Lytechinus pictus: one gene and its partner. The main gene of each other region encodes a partner of the protein of the gene in region 2 in a complex. Links are inferred from orthologs where the notes say so. Each region holds a gene or a part of one and is shown on either strand. Other genes may lie near its edges.

Region 1 (7,848 bases), on a different chromosome or scaffold from region 2:
TGACAAACATATAAAGTGGAACAACCATAATATAGACCACAAACAAGCTACAGCAACGCTAGAAACAAGGAGACAAAAGGGGCATTAGTGAGTATAGAGAAGACCAATCAGGTTAGTGAAGGGGATGAAAGAAAGGGAGGAGTAGGCAGACACAAAGGGAAGTTAGACCCCTGTTACATCTGAGAGATTCCCTACCTCGGGCCGGCCCGGGGCCTACCTCGGGTCGGAAAGAAATCAGATGTAAACATCCCAAACCTACCTCGGGCCACCTTTTAGCGAACCTACCCGAGACCACATCAAGAGGTAGTCTCGGGTAGGTATCGGGCCGGCCCCGGTCCACCGATTCGTAGATGTAAACGCACACAAGCTTTCAAACCTATCTCGGTCCGTTCGCCAGCTGTCAAATTACGTCATAGCGCGCGCTATCCCCTCCCCAGCCCCGTCGTTCTTCGAATGTTTTGCGGCTTTTGACATGTGAATTGTGATTGATAAAGTCTTTGATTTTAGTGGAAAGAAGGAAGCACTTTAAACGTATTCTTTTCAAATCGATCATATCTTCAACGACTGCTGGGATCATCAGCATGCTTCCAGAATAACGAAATGTAAACAACTTCAATTAGCGCGCGCAAATTATTCAGAGCCTAGATCGAGAGTGCCCTTTGGTGTCAGCAATCGGATACCGCTCGAAACCGTACCGATAGGGGAGGGAATGAACGCTGTGATGTAAACAGACCACATTTCGGACTCGGTCCGTTCGCGAAGCTAATCCACCAATAATCCAGTCAAGGTTGCAAGTGGACTCGGTCGGGTCTCGGGTAGGAAACTTTCAGATGTAACAGGGGCCATATGTGTAAGTAAGGCCAGTAAAAGACCTCAAGCCAAGAGGGATTAAAATAATGAGGCAGGCAACATCAAACAGGATCTGGAACAAAACAGAGATAATGGGATGAAAAACAAGAGAAATAGTGAGAGGTGGGTCAAACAGGTTACAAAGAAAGGCTTAATAAACTGGTGCATAAGAGTGGGGGGGGGGGAAGAAAAAGAATGGGGAACAACTGATAATGTGCAAAAGACATATAAGTATATATGATAAAGCATTAAACAAACTAAGAGAAGAAGGTAAGTGTAAATATGTATCTATAAGTGATATGTATATAAATATATCCAAAAAAGAAATGTATATGAAAAAATATATAAATACACATATGGTGTAACTGATATTGTAATCCGCTAGGTGTGACGGGAAAAAAACATAAGACTATAAGTCTATATAGTAGGGGAAAAAAAAAAAAAAAAACACCCTGTATATGTGAAAAAGAGGAAGCAAATTGCCTAAAAAAAGTAAAAGCAAATATAGAAGAGAGGGGGTGTATTATGAAGAAACCATAGTATACATGTAAATAAGCAAATGTGGTAAATCTAAAAGAGGTGAGTGGAGAAAAAACAAATATATATATATATATATATATATATATAATAATTATTATATCGCCTGAATAAGGAAGGAAAAATTGGAGCTAAGCTTGTATGAGATATGGGAGGAAAGTAGAGTAAGAAACTATAATGTAACTATTCAAAAGAGCTGAGGGGAAAAACTATATGTATATAAAAATTGAAAGTGGATAGGAAAGAAAAATCAGTCGTTCCCCTCTTGGATGTTCAGGCCATGAGGTTGGGTGGTGCGAAGTCGTCTCATCCAGAGCTTCTCCCTGCTAGTACGGACTGAGTCAGGACGGGTACCTAAAGATTCGATGCCCTGTAGCATCATGTCAGTGATGGAGTGGTTGGGGAGGTTAAAATGGCGGCCAACTGGAGTGTCCAGCTTTGCTGTGTTGACGGTGGATCTGTGCCCGTAGAATCGTTTCTTGAGTGTGGTCTTGGTTTCCCCTATGTATTGTACCCTACAAACTCTGCAAGTGATGAGATATACAACATTAGTGGTAGTGCATGTGATGTTGCCCTTGATTTGGTGAGACAGGCTGGTAGAGTTGCTGGTGAAAGTATCGCCCTCGTGAAGGTGTATTTCACATATGATGCACCTGTTGCTGGTGCATTTGAAGGTGCCATGTTGTATGGGAGAAGAATGGTTAGTGAGGGAGGGCACTTCAGCACGAACAATGAGGTCCCTGAGATTCGGTGGGCGTCGGTATGCTAGAAGGGGAGTATCGGGAACGGCCTGTTGGAGACGATCAGAAGTGTGTAAAATCAAGGAGCTTCCAACTCCTTGGTAAAATGTGGTGGTTATCAAACAGGATTTTGCGGAGAGGGGGTAGATTGGGATGGAAGGTGGTCACAAGCGGTATTCTGTCGGTGGTCTCCTTGTCACTTTTTGGTTTGAGAACTTCAGATCTGGGGAGAGAACGAACTTTGTTAATTGCCAGTTGGACTAGCTGCCCTGGCCCGTGGCCCCTGGCACAGAGATGTTTCTGCAAATTCCTGGCATGGAAGGAAAAATCAGGGTCCTCGGAGCAGATACGGCGAAGTCTGAGGGCTTGACTGTAAGCGATGCCGGTTTTGCAGTGACGGGGGTGGCAGCTGGATGAGTGGAGGTACTGGTGGGTATCTGTGGGTTTAGAGTATAGGGTAGTGGTGATACCATTATACTTTTTCTGGACTGTAACATCAAGGAAGTGGGTTTCCTGTTGGGAGAAATCAGAAGTGAATTTGATGGTCCTGTGGAAGGAATTGATGTGGTCAATGAATGTATGGAGGCTGTCTTCACTCTGGTCCAGATGAAGAAAATGTCGTCTATGTAACGCCACCAAATCCATGGGCGACAGGGGGCTGAATCTAACATCTGCTGTTCCAGCTTCGTCATGAAGAGACAGGCGAATGAAGGAGCCATCCGGATGCCCATTGCTGTACCGAATATCTGTAGGTATAGTGCTTGCCCATGAATGTGAAGCTGTTTTTTGTTAGTACATGAGACATCAGAGATTTGATATCGGATATGGGGGGACTGGAATGGCCACTGGCGGCCAAGGCTAGCTTCACATGATGCTTGGATACCTTCGTCGTGGGGAATTAATGCTGGTGTACAGTGAAGAAACATCGAAAGTGCCGATGATCGCAGTCTCGGGTCCTTGATGTCATTTAGTTTCCTGAGAAAGTCTGGAGTGTCGTGGATGTAAGAGGGTGCACGTGAGACAATTAAGGGGCTTAATGTGGTAATCAACAAAAAGGGAGATGTTCTCTGTTGAGGAACCATTTCCTGAGAGGATGGGTCGACCGGGGTTGGCAGGTTTGTGGATCTTCGGGAGGAGATAGAAGCGGGCAGGTTTAGCATTAGTAGGGGAGAGAAATTTGTGGGCCTTCTCAGAGAGATGCTCGTGTTCTTTCATGTCATTCAGTGTCGATTTGATCTGTAGGGAGAAATTACAAGTAGGGTCAGAATCGAGGAGTGCATAGTGAGATCGATTATTGAGATGTTTCATGGCTTCATCGATGTACTGCTGGCGGTCCATAACAACGACGGCTGATCCTTTGTCTGCAGGCTTGATGATGATGTCGGACCTGTTTTTGAGTGATGAGAGAGCCTGATGAGAGAACCTATATATCTACGGAGGATTATCTATTGTTACTGGGGGTGCTGTGACAATGCTCAGCACCCCCAGTGACAATAGAATAATCCTCCGTGGATAGGTCCATGAATGAATTAAAGGACAAGTCCACCCCAACCATTAGTTGATTTGAATAAATAGAGAAAAATCCAACCAGCATAACACTGAAAAGTTCATCAAAATCGGATGTAAAATAAGAAAGTTATGACAGTTTTAAGTTTTGCTTAATTTCACAAAACAGTTATATGTACATCCTGGTCGGTATGCAAATGAGGAGACTGATGACGTCATCCACTCACTATTTCTTTTGTATTTCATTATATGAAATATGAAATATTCTAATTTTCTCCTCATTGTCAAGTTAAACAAAGATTAATTCCTCCCTGAACACGTGGAATTAGCATTGTTTTAATACTATATGGTTCAGTCAAGTTGGTCCTTAATGTCAAACCTGTAAAAAATGAAATATTGTATAATTCAAACAATAAAAAACAAAAGAAAAAGTGAGTGATGGACCTCATCGACTGTCTCATTTGCATGTCACTGAGATGTGCATATAATTGTTTTGTGAAAAATAAGCGAAACTTTAAAATGTCATAACTTTCTTATTTGACATCCGATTCTGATGAAATTTTTAGCGTTTTGCTCGTTGGATTTTTCTCTATTTATTCAAATCATCATTTTTTTGGGATGGACTTGACCTTTAACTATTCTGTGAAAAAAATAAAAATAATAAAAATAATTACTATCTGATATCCGATTTGTATCAATTCGATCACGATTGTTTGGCTTTATCTACGATGTGGGAATTATAGATCTACATGTATTTTTGTATATTGAATCATACCAATCTCCAAAATAGAAATTTCAACATAGTCTACAAGCACAGACTAAAATTTGACAACTTATACCATGACTAGATTGAAGACTCCAATTGTTTTGTCTGTGTCAAATCAGATTTGGTAGAATAGGCCACCGCTAATTGAGTGAATCTAGTCTCACTACTTCAGACTCTGCATATGCGCTGTGTGAAAACCGAAGGTCTGTGCCTGCAGACTAATCTCGACGCGGCACATAATATTTTGCTGCTTCCTTCAATTCTGCATGCACTCAGACACTTTGCGGAGACACACTTTGAGCAGCAGTGCAGTCAGCGCAGCGCTCTGCCGTGCTGCATGCTAGGCAGTCACTGAACTAAAAATACGTGGAAGTCGTGTTCACCCAAGCAAAACAGCGCCGGCGAAATCGATAAGTCACGTGACCGCCGCCATTTTGCTAGGTCAATTGTTCGAGAGCGCGCCGTAGAAGGCAATTGAAAATATGTGCAAGATGCAATATGTTTTCTCTATAAATATAAAATTAATAGTGTGGCAAAGTGTATTTTAATGTCATTAAGCCAATCATGTACAAACATATTTCTATATGCACAATGTACTGGGACCTGGTAATTCATGTAGTTAAAAAAAAGGGTCTAATTCAGGGTGACCAGATTTCACAAAATGAAATACGGGACAATCGCCTCATCAAAGAAGGCTACACGATGTTATACTTGTGAAAAAAATAAAAAGAATTGGAAGGGAGGGATAACGAAAGAATGAAGGAGAGAAAAAAAAGACGAAAGAAAAGAAATGAGAAAGAAGAAAGAACAAATGAAGGGGAAAATAAAAGCGGAAAGTTAGAATAATCAAAAGGACGATGAAAGAAAGAATAAAAGAGAAAAAAAAAGGTTTCCGTCATTCTTTGAATTCACCCAATATAGAAAGAAATAAAAAGAAAGAAAGGGAAGATGTGTGAAAGACAAAATAAGAAAAAGGAGGAGGAAACAAAGAATAAAGGAAAGAAAAATGTTTTTTTTTTCTTTGAAAGAAGAAAACGGGAAGGGAAAATGAAGGAAGGGGGAGGGAAAGAAAGAAAGAATAAGGGGAAAGAAGAAGAAGGAAAAAATAGAGAATGAAAGAAAGAATGAAAGAGAGGGAGGAAAGATTGAAGGGAGGAGAAAATAAAAAAAATAATGGAAGGAGAGAAAAAACGAAAAGAAAAAGGTGAGGAAGGGAGTAAATAAAAGTATAAGGAAAGAAAGAATGACGGAAATAAAAATGGCAGATACGGAGGAAGAAGGAAAGAAAGAAAATTAAAACACAGAAAGGATCAGGAAAGAAAGGTATGAAATATTAAAAGATGTAGATGGAACAAAAAAAAAACAAGGATAGAAGGATGAAGGATAAAAAGGAAAGAGGAAAAAGTTCAAACTTCAAGCAAACAAAAGCAATCCAGTCATCTAACAGAAATGATAATGATATTTGGTGTTTTTTTTTAATTTTGGAAAACTAAGTGGTTTAGAAATGAATAAAATTTCAAAGTGAAACATTGTCAACTTACAAATGAGAGGAAACAGCGCCGGCATCCTATATACACAACAAGACTCAAAAAGCTAAAACAACTGCATGTAGATCCCGTTATGAAAACTAAAAAAAACTTGTTCCTCCGATCCTATTTAATCAGTAATCTGAGAATTACGATCATAAAAATTTTCCGCCGATTTTGTGATTATTTTGGTGGAAAAACTGTTTATCATGTGAGATTGTTTGCATCATTATGCTCCGATCCTACATGCATAGAGCCTGTTTCACACACATGCAGGCAATAATACTAACCTCGTACTAGTGTGAGTGACAGGCAGGAAGCCAGCTCGTTTGCAATGTATTTGGTTAGGATAAAAATCACCCACAGAACTTGCAAAAGTTTTAGTTATCGATTTATTGTTGTCTCTGCTTCGTCATTCTGTTTGGTTATGTGATGAAAATTCGTCACTTTTTAATTTATCAACTATATTTTGTTCAATATTCTAAAAATACGGGACAGATATGTCCCGGGAAGGGTTTGTCGGGACGCCGGGACAAATTAAGGAGCAAAATACGGGACGATCCCGGGAAATACGGGACGTCTGGTCATTTGACAAGAGGTAGTGGTCTTTTTGTACAATTTTTGACTTGTGGAATATTTCATACTCACCAGGATATGCATATAACTGGTATGTGAAAATAAGCGAAATTTAGTGCAACAACTTTTTAAATGGAATTACCATTGCTATGACTTTCTGATTTGTGCTCTAATAGTAAACTTGTTAGAGTTGACTTGGTTTTGTTTATCCATCACCCATTCCTTTATGTAAAAGTGTATTGATGTAAGCACATGTCGTGCAACATCCATGCTCTTCCAAATTAAATTTCATAAGAATTCAAATTCTATTGTGCCCATTTTTACATACACGGTACTTTATAGTAGATATTTCCTTGCTGAGCACACGAAGGTCCAACTTTGAAGGCTCATTAAAAGTAACAACCTTCTTGCCCTTAAACTTCTATTCAATTTTTCACCCTGAATGTGTGATTGAAGAGTATGAGAGGGAGGGAAGGGAATATTTACTCAAAATTCATATAGAGAAAGTTGAAGGAAAAATTGTAAAGATGGAGAGAGAGAAAAAGAAACAGACGATCAACGAGAAGAGATGGAAAGAAGAGGAAGATCAAAGAGAAGGAGAGAGAGAGAGGGAGAGAGAGGGGAAATCGAGGAATGAGAAAGAGGTGAGGAGAGAAAGGCGAGACGAGAGGGAGATAAAAGAGGGCTCGATATAAGGGAGATGGGGAAATAAAAGAAAGATATAATTATGGGGAAAGAGAGAGAGGGAATGTAAGAGAGAGAGATGAGAAAGACGAGGAGATGAGAGAGAAAGAAGCCAAAGAGAAAGGAAAATAATAAAGAGGGAGATCGAGATGATATAAAGGAGAGAAATAAGAGAGAGAGGGGCATGAAAGTAGAAATGGAAGAAATAGAAGGGGATGGAGAGGATAAGAGAGATGGACAGAAGAGGAAAATCAGAGAAAATGAGATGAGATGAATAGTTGAATGAGAAGGGAGGTTTAAAAAAAAAGCTAGAGAAAGGGACATGATCTCTAATCGTTAAAAGATTTTTTTTTATGCAACCAGCTAGGCCTACTCAGAAAGCATATTTGTTGTGGGGCCTTTCCTTGTCACAGCGTGCGCGTGAAAAAGGTCGAGTTTTTTATGATTTCATGACTGTATATGTTTACTCCCCTTTAATACAAAAATGTGACTAAATCAACATTTTCAGTTATGAAAGTATTCGATAACATATAGTTCATGATGTAACAAAGCAAGGAACACTTTCTTTGCGTTCCTTTCTCCCATCTGCCTATATACACGCAGCATTTGCCGACCAGCCAGTATTGACCTAGCAAAATGGCGGCGCGCTCAGTCGAGCGTGAAG
Region 2 (8,455 bases):
TCGGGCAGTCATTTTCAGATTGAAAAAAAAAATGGTACCCCATGTCTGCGCACTCATTCACTTTGCACACGATTCGGGGATTTTGATGAGAAAGGCTGCATTTTGAGGCCGTCACATGAAATGCCCAAATTTCATTATTTTTCCACCATTTTGAGTCAGATTTTTTTATGAATACCTGTCTATGTATTGCATGTGTAAAGTCTGTGTTCGTTGCGTATCTTCTTTTACTAGAATCGCGCAAATACGCGTGTGCGCAGACAAGGGAAGGGGGACTGCGCAGACTTGGGGGAACTTGCCATATATAGGTATGTGTGAATACGGGCGCATCGCGAACGCTGGTTTTGGCTGCACGGTTTTCGCGCGGGTTTTGCTGCAAGTGGCATCGCCTCTGTCTGGGCGGCTCATCGAAAATGGGGTTTCATGCGCATGCGCACATAGTTGATGCAATCTCGTGCCTCCATACAGACAGTTGAAGACTTGCTCTTTCTGTACATGTAAGTTTCAATGTGGATACTCGCCTGTGAAGTGTGGATATCGGAGCTTGAAAGTTCATCAAATTTTTGGATGCGCAAATGATCGAAATGTTTTAATGGTAAGTAGAACTGCAATCCAATTATGTATCTTGACCTTTTAAAAATGTATTCAAATTGAAAAAAAAACTAATATCAAAAGATTCTTTCGTGGAGCAGTCCAGATATAAGCGGCGCGAGCTACCCTTGTCACAGCCGGTCTCTCGGCAGTCGAGCTGCCCGATGCGGTGGGCTCCCGACGGTCTTTCGGCAGTCGAGCTACCGGTACCCGATGCGGAGGGCTTGGTGACGGGAGTGGTCGATAGTGAGTCGTTCATGCTGGATTGAACTGGATCTAAATTGTTCACTTGATAATATTGTGCCTTTTTCTGAAAATGTCTGTCATTATACCGTAGATTGTTATTCTGATATTGATTTAAATATATACATTTTGTCACAAAAACATTCTTTCCTCCTAAGGTTATAGAATCATATTTTATCATTTGGAAACTGGATTCTTTTGGAAGTGGAATATTAATGTTAATCTATAGTGTTTCTTTTTTTTCTTTTGTAGAAAAAAAAATATTTTGAAACTTTTCAATCATGTTTCATTATTTTGAGACTGGATTTGCTTTTGAAAGGAGAATATCATAAATGTTGACTTTTTAATTAAAATGCAAATATTATGTTTATTTTTTAGTTTCTTTTTTTTAAATATATTTTTTTAAGTTTCTTTTTTAAATTATTGTATTGTTTATTTTTTTCATTTTTTTTTCATATTTCATTATTTGGAGACTGGATTTGCTTTTGAAAGGAGAATATCTTAAATGTTGATTTTTTTTTATTAAAATGCACGAACTAGATGTTGTTTATTTTATGTTGTAATTTTTTTCACTCTTGTAAGAAAATACATGAAAACTCAGAGGAAAGAATATTTCATTTCCAGATGGGTCTGAGTCCTGTATTTATGTTTATTATTAATTGTACTATTTATTTTTTTGTTCACTTTTCTTTTTTTAGGGGTGCAGGTGGGGGTTGTATTTTGAATTGGAAAATGGGGATGGGATTGGTACAAGTTTTTGTTTCTCTTGTTTTTAGTGCTTGTTTGGAGCTTTGATGTCTGTTTTGTTGTTGTTGTTTAAAGCTTTGTTATATATTTTTCATGGTTGTTTTTTGCTTTGTTTTGAAAGAAATAGACCACTCTTTTCCTTTTCTTTTGGATTCGACTAATAATTTGAATTTATTTTTCTTTAAAAAGAGAGCTCAAACAGGGCTTTTGTAATACAATGTATGTATACAAATCTAAGAAATTGACAACTGATACAATATATTAAAACTTCATTTTCGTCCTTCTTGATACTTGAAATAAATTGCATACAATTCTACATACATATTTTACACTCAGCTGCTCATTCCTTCTAAAAATGTAATCACATGTCCATTGTCTCTCAAATCAAAAGCTACATATTATAACAAATTGTTGAAACAATAGAATACATAAGGAATTGGTGAAACAATAAAATACATCAGAAAAAAGCACACATATTTTTATTTGGTCATACAAAGTACAAAATAATTTTTTTTCATATGTAAAAAAGGACCCCCGTACAAACACATATACAAAATTACAATACTAAGTTGAAAAAGAGCTTGTAATTTATATCAGAAAACAAAGAAATACATTAGAAATTACAAAAACAATACTTTAGACAAATTCATTAGGAAATTATCTACATGATGCTGTTTTGATGCCAACTAAATTATATGAATTATCTATCATAATCACCTTCATTTGGCAAAAAAAAGAGGCAAGTAATTGTGATTTTCTGTTATTTGCATAATTAATTAGAATTAATTAGAAGAAATTATTTTACACATAATAAGAAAAATTACTAGATGAATTGATACACATCAATTAAGCATTCTCTCACCTTTCCATTGATACCTAAATTACTTCATAGGGCTCAAAAACAAAGAAGTTAGAGCCTGTTGAAGACTTGGGTTCAAAATGGTCACAAAAATGACAAAATGGTCACAAAAATCGATTCTGTACTCCATTGACTTTACATTAAGACAATGACCACAAATTTGGATGAATATGTGCGACTTAAACTGGAATAACTTTATAATTTCTTTATGAAAACTAAAGTTCTTGGTATCATTTTAAAGGTCTTTTTAAGAGCTTTCAAGTGATACCAAATTTATTCATATTTGATGATTTTCATTTTTTTTGTCACATACCTACCATATATGCGAATTGAATCGGAGTCGCCGATCGAAACATGGGAATCTGATCTGCTCAATTTTCTGCAAATAATGAGACGAAAACTAGGTAAAAGTCGAGTCTTGACTCCTGGGCTCCGACGTCGACCCGCTTCGCGAGCCGGAGCTCCCTGGCCCTGCCCCTGGGTTAGTTCCGATGCGATGCCGATGGAGCTGGCTGCACTGCACTCTGCACTTACACTCGCCACTCGGCTGATCGCACACGTTACCAATATGATAGCGCAATAAAAATTACATTAAATTTAACTACGCGATTTCCGCACAATTAACCTACGAATATCACCACTCATTATAAAAAAATAAGAATTGAGACTTCAAACTCAGTTACAACTAATACAAGCATATTTTTAATTTATTTTACCTGCCAGAGCACTGTATCTGCGATTTCTTGGTGTAAACAAAGAACGTTGAGGGCCGGCGCGGTAACAAATCTTTTTCCTTACGAAAAGAATAGGTCCATGGTTAAATTCAGAAAAAAATAACAAATAAATATTAATGAAGTTTTGAGGAAAAGCCATCATAGATTAAGAAAGTTATAATTATAATTTATAGTTTTTGTTTTGTGACGTAAAAAATGTCCCATAGTTTATGTCATGTAATATAAAATGTATAAAGTTCTTTTTTTTGTGGGAAGTTCGTGCATGATGACTAAAAAAAAATTTTCAGGAGCGGATGTGAAATTGGCCGTTTATGGTAAATTATTTTCAAATTATTTGAGAAAATGACATTTCCTTGAATTTTTAAAATACACGATATATGGGAAGCTGCTCGCATATGACGTGACAAATAAAAAAAATATTAAAATCTTTGATGGATTTTCCTTAAACCTTCACCAATATTTTGTAAAGTTCAACTTCAGATTTGCTTGGCATTGCAGTGTATGGTAGGGCTATAAAAAGAATTAGGCCTATGTCCATGGGCGGAAATCCCAGGGGGGACAGGGGGGGGCGTGTCCCCCCTACTCAATTGATTTATTTTATTTAAACACGGTAAAAAGCCCTCGATCAGCCTATGGCTGTTTACAAAACATGAACAGAGTGGCCAATTTTTAGGTCTAAATCTCTTTTTTTTTCTGCTCGCGCTTCGCGCTCGCATCAATTGTTGAATTATATAGCTACCCTGTTCACGATTACAAAAATTGATTAAAATTTTCAATTTTTTTATTGTTGAAATATGTAACGCCTTCATGGCTAAGTGCAAGCAGTCCTTAAAAGACAAGTCCACCCCAACAAAAAGCTGATTTGAATAGAAAGTGAAAAATCAAACAAGCATAACACTGAAAATTTCATCAAAATCGGATGAAAAATAAGAAAGTTATATTATTTTTTAAAGTTTCGCTTAAATTCTAAAAACAGTTATATGCACATCCTGTTCGGTATGCAAATGAAGGGACCGATGACATCACCCACTCACTATTTCTTTTTTTTTTGTTATATGAAATATGAAATATTTTGATTTTATTGTCATTGTCATGTGCTTCATTCCTCCCTAAACACGTGGAATTCCATTATTTTAACATTTTGTGGTTCAAGCAAGGGGGTCCTAATTGTCAAATTCGTAAAAATTGAAATATTGTTTAATTCAAACAATATATAAAAAACAAAAGAAATAGTGAGTGAGAGTGACATCACTGACTCTCTCATTTGCATATCATTGAGTTGAGCATAGAACTGTTTTGTGAAAAATAAGCGAAACTTTAAAATGTCTTTATAACTTTCTTATTTTACATCCGATTTTGATGAAGTTTTCAGTGTTATTCATGTGTGATTTTTCTCTATTTATTTAAATAAACTTTTTTTTGGGGTGGACTTGACCTTTAACAGATACCTTTTCAACAGGTACCATTTCAAAACGTATATAAAAATTTTCTGCTGGCGCTTTGCGCTCGCATTATTAATACTCATCCTTTTCATGATTTACAAAACATGAATAGAGCGTCTCGTTCAGTAAATATTATAGGACTAAATTTCGAAACTTTCCGCTCGCGCTTCGCGCTCGCATCAATTGTCTACTTATATACCTATTCTGCTTGAGTTACAAAAAGCGCTTACAATTTTCATTCTTTAGGTGAAAATGTAAAAAAAAAATCAGCTCGCGCTCGCATTATTTGATTGTTAAATGCTAACTGCACGCAGTCTTTAACAGGTATCTTTTCCATCAGTTCATTTCTGCTCGCGCTTTGCGTTCGTAGTAATTTTTTCAGGATAACAAACATTGCCCAGAATGTTCAAATTTTAGGAAAAAATACATAAAATTTCCAACAAATTAGCTCGTGCTTCGCGCTCCCATCATATAAATAAGGATTATGATATTATACATGAATTTATAAGAATAAAGCTAAGAAGTGACTAATGGGGACTATACCCCTTCAAAGAAACAAAACACAAATCATCTTCGAGCTGCCGATCGGGGAAAATACTCGCTGAAACAAATTTCCGCCCCCCCCCCCTCCTATTGGCGAAGGCTGGATCCGCCCCTGTGTCCCCCCTACCTTTTGGGAGAGATTTCCGCCCCTGCCTATGTCCGTGTTATTAAAATATTACAATGCGTCCCATTTATCAATTATAATTTTAACGCTGCATTATCTCCGCAAACAAAAGTATAAATATAGTTTATGTGATAACTGCCTACAGGATTAAAACCAAAACGGAAGTGGCTCAAGATCCTAATCCTAATTTGAGAAGGGGCATGCACAGTAAAAACGCTGTTTAAGATTTTATACAACGCTGTTTACTATTATGAACCTTACAGTATTTATTTAACCGTTTAAACAATCATGTTTAGATATTGAAAATTAAACTTTGTCGCTTAAAGGGATGGTCCGGGCTGAAAATATTTATATCTTAAGACATAGAGTAGAATTCACTGAGCAAAATGCCGAAAATTTCATCAAAATCGGATAACAAATGATACAGTTATTGAAGTTTAAAGTTTAGCAATATTTTGTGAAAACAGTCGTTATGAATATTCATTAGGTGTGCTGATGATGTCACATCTCCACTTTCCGTTTTCTTATGTTATTACATAAAATCATATTTTTCATTATTTCATACTTGTGTGAATAATATGTCTCCCTTATAATGAAATAAGTTGCATCAATAAATATCTAATGCACTAAATCAGTTGTCAATCCAATTTTTCTAGTTCTTTGAGAGAAAATTTGAATAAACCTATTTTCATATAATAAAATACAAAAGAACAAGTGGGGATGTGACATCATCAGCCCACTAATGAATATTCATGACCACTGTTTTCACAAAATATTGCTAAACTTTAAAATTAACTTACTTTGTTATTTGTTATCCGATTTTGATGAAATTTTCGGCATTTTGCTCAGTGAATTTTATTCTAATTATTAAGCTATAAATACTTTCAGCCCGGACCATCCCTTTAAGATTTAAACACTTGTTTAAACTGTTTAAACAATTACTGTAAGGTTCATATAGTAAACAGCGTTGTATAATTTTTTTTTACTATGTGGACTTCGATAACACCGGGGGGGGGGGGGGGGGGAGCGGCACTGTGTCCTCATTGAAAACCCTTTTACCCAAGAAAACGGTCCCGCTGACAAACGTGTTCGGTACCCCTTTCATCTCAAAGAAAGGCCCGTTTCGTGTATTAAAGGTCTAATCCGAGGGGTCCAACCTAGAAAAACTGATGATTTGAATAAATAGAAAAAAAATCAAACAAGCACAACAATACAAATTTCATTAAAATCGGATGTAAAATAAGAAAGCTATGGCATTTTAAAGTTTTGCTTATTTTTCACTATATAAACTTTATATGCACAACTCAGTGATATGCAAATTAGTCGATTATTGATGTCTCTCGCACTATGTTTGAATTGTACAATATTTCAATTTTTACCGATGTGGACAATATAGGGACCAACTTGATTGAACCATAAGTGAATATTGGTAATTTTACATGTTCAGGGAGGAACAAAACATTGTTTCACATGATAATGAGGAGAAAATTAGAACTATTTAATATTTTACATAATAAAATACACAAGAAATAGTCAGTGGGTGACGTCATCATCAGTCACCTCATTTGCATATATACTGACCATGCAGGGGCGGATCCAGCCTTTGCCAATAGGGGGGGGCCCGGAATTTTTTTCAGCCATATTTTCCCCGATCGGCCGCTCGAAGATGATTTTTGGTTTCTTTGAAGGTGTAATCCTAATAGTCACTTTTTGGCTCTATTCTTATTAATCAACATAAATATATCATAATCCTTATTTATATAATGCGAGTGCGAAGCGAGAGCTAAATTTTTTGGAAATCTTATGTATTTTTTCCTAAAATTTGAACATTCTGGGCAATGTTTGTTATCCTGAAAAAGATGTGTATGCAGCTAAATAATTACCACGAACGCGAAGCGCGAGCAGAAATGAACTGATGGAAAAGGTACCTGTTAAAGATTGCATGCAGTTAGCCATGAAGACGTTACATATTTCAAAAAAATCAAATATTGCGAGCGCGAAGCGCGAGCTAAAATTTTTCGACATTTTTACCCGAAGAATGGAAATTCTAAGCACTTTTTTTTAACTTAAACAGAAAAGGTATATAACTAAACAATTAATGCGAGCGCGAAGCGCGAGCGGAAAATTTCGAGATTTAGACCTACTGAACGAGACATGTTTTGTAAATCATGAAAAGGATGAGTAATTAGGGATCTTCCTTACATTAATAATGCGAGCGCAAAGCGCGAGCAGAAAATTTTCATATGCGTTTTGAACTGATCGAAAAGGTACCTGTTATAGGACTGCACTTAGCCATGAAGACGTTACATATTTCAACAATCAAATCATGAGAGCGCGGAGCGCGAGCTGAAAAAAATTGACATTTCTACATAAGGAATGGAAAATTTTAATAAATTTTTACAATCGTGAACAAGATAGCAATATAACTAAACAATTGATGCGAGCGCGAAGCGCGAGCTGGAAAAAACCAAGATTTAGACCTCAAAACGGGACATTCATGTTTCATGTTTTGTAAATCATGAAAAGAATGAGTAATAGGGAATTTTTATACATTAATAATGAGAGCACAAGGCGCGAGCAAAAAACTTTTGATATTGTGATCTGAAACTGGATAATGAAAATGTCCTTATAGGACATGTCATCATATGAAAATGAAGACTGTCTTCCTATTCCTCTTGCTAAGCTCGAGATGAAACAAAAGGGACAATTCAATTATTGAATTAATATATTATTCATTAATGCCTAATGAGAGCGCAAAATCTGATGATATGATGGCCTGAAAACTGGACATTTCAATCACTTTTGTAATTACAACTAGGATGCATCAGTAAATATATTATTAACTAGATTTAGATTTTTTAGATTTAGATTTATTGATTTATTTCATTTCTTTTCTTTCCATTTTTCACATACAAGTCAAAAATACATAAATACAAATACATAAATACAATTACAAAAATGAACAAAAGTAACGACCTTACATTTGCTAAAATTGGGTAATGTAAATTATACGAACAAAATACGATACTTATTTCATCATTTCATAAAACGTAACATTCTTAAAAGTATGAGTATTCTTGTGTATATTAAAAAAAGAAAGGGGTGAAATGAAAAGAGAGACCAGCTGAGAAGCTTGGCTTGTTGGACGCTGATCTCTCCAATACGTAAATAATGT

Evidence for each region.
Region 1: U4/U6 small nuclear ribonucleoprotein Prp31-like (region 2) and small nuclear ribonucleoprotein Sm D2 share a complex: the UniProt entries of both Homo sapiens proteins name them as parts of the U4/U6-U5 tri-snRNP complex. The link is inferred for Lytechinus pictus from reciprocal best matches to the Homo sapiens genes PRPF31 and SNRPD2.

What each region holds. Positions count from the first base shown.
Region 1 is NC_087251.1:24,556,797-24,564,644, reverse strand, and holds the start of small nuclear ribonucleoprotein Sm D2, read left to right. Parts: upstream 1-4,583; 5' UTR 4,584-4,742; intron 4,743-7,848. UniProt on the Homo sapiens protein: Plays a role in pre-mRNA splicing as a core component of the spliceosomal U1, U2, U4 and U5 small nuclear ribonucleoproteins (snRNPs), the building blocks of the spliceosome.
Region 2 is NC_087254.1:21,095,983-21,104,437, reverse strand, and holds the start of U4/U6 small nuclear ribonucleoprotein Prp31-like, read right to left. Parts: upstream 3,228-8,455; 5' UTR 3,154-3,227; intron 2,817-3,153; exon of another isoform or gene 2,755-2,816; intron 1-2,754. UniProt on the Homo sapiens protein: Involved in pre-mRNA splicing as component of the spliceosome. Required for the assembly of the U4/U5/U6 tri-snRNP complex, one of the building blocks of the spliceosome.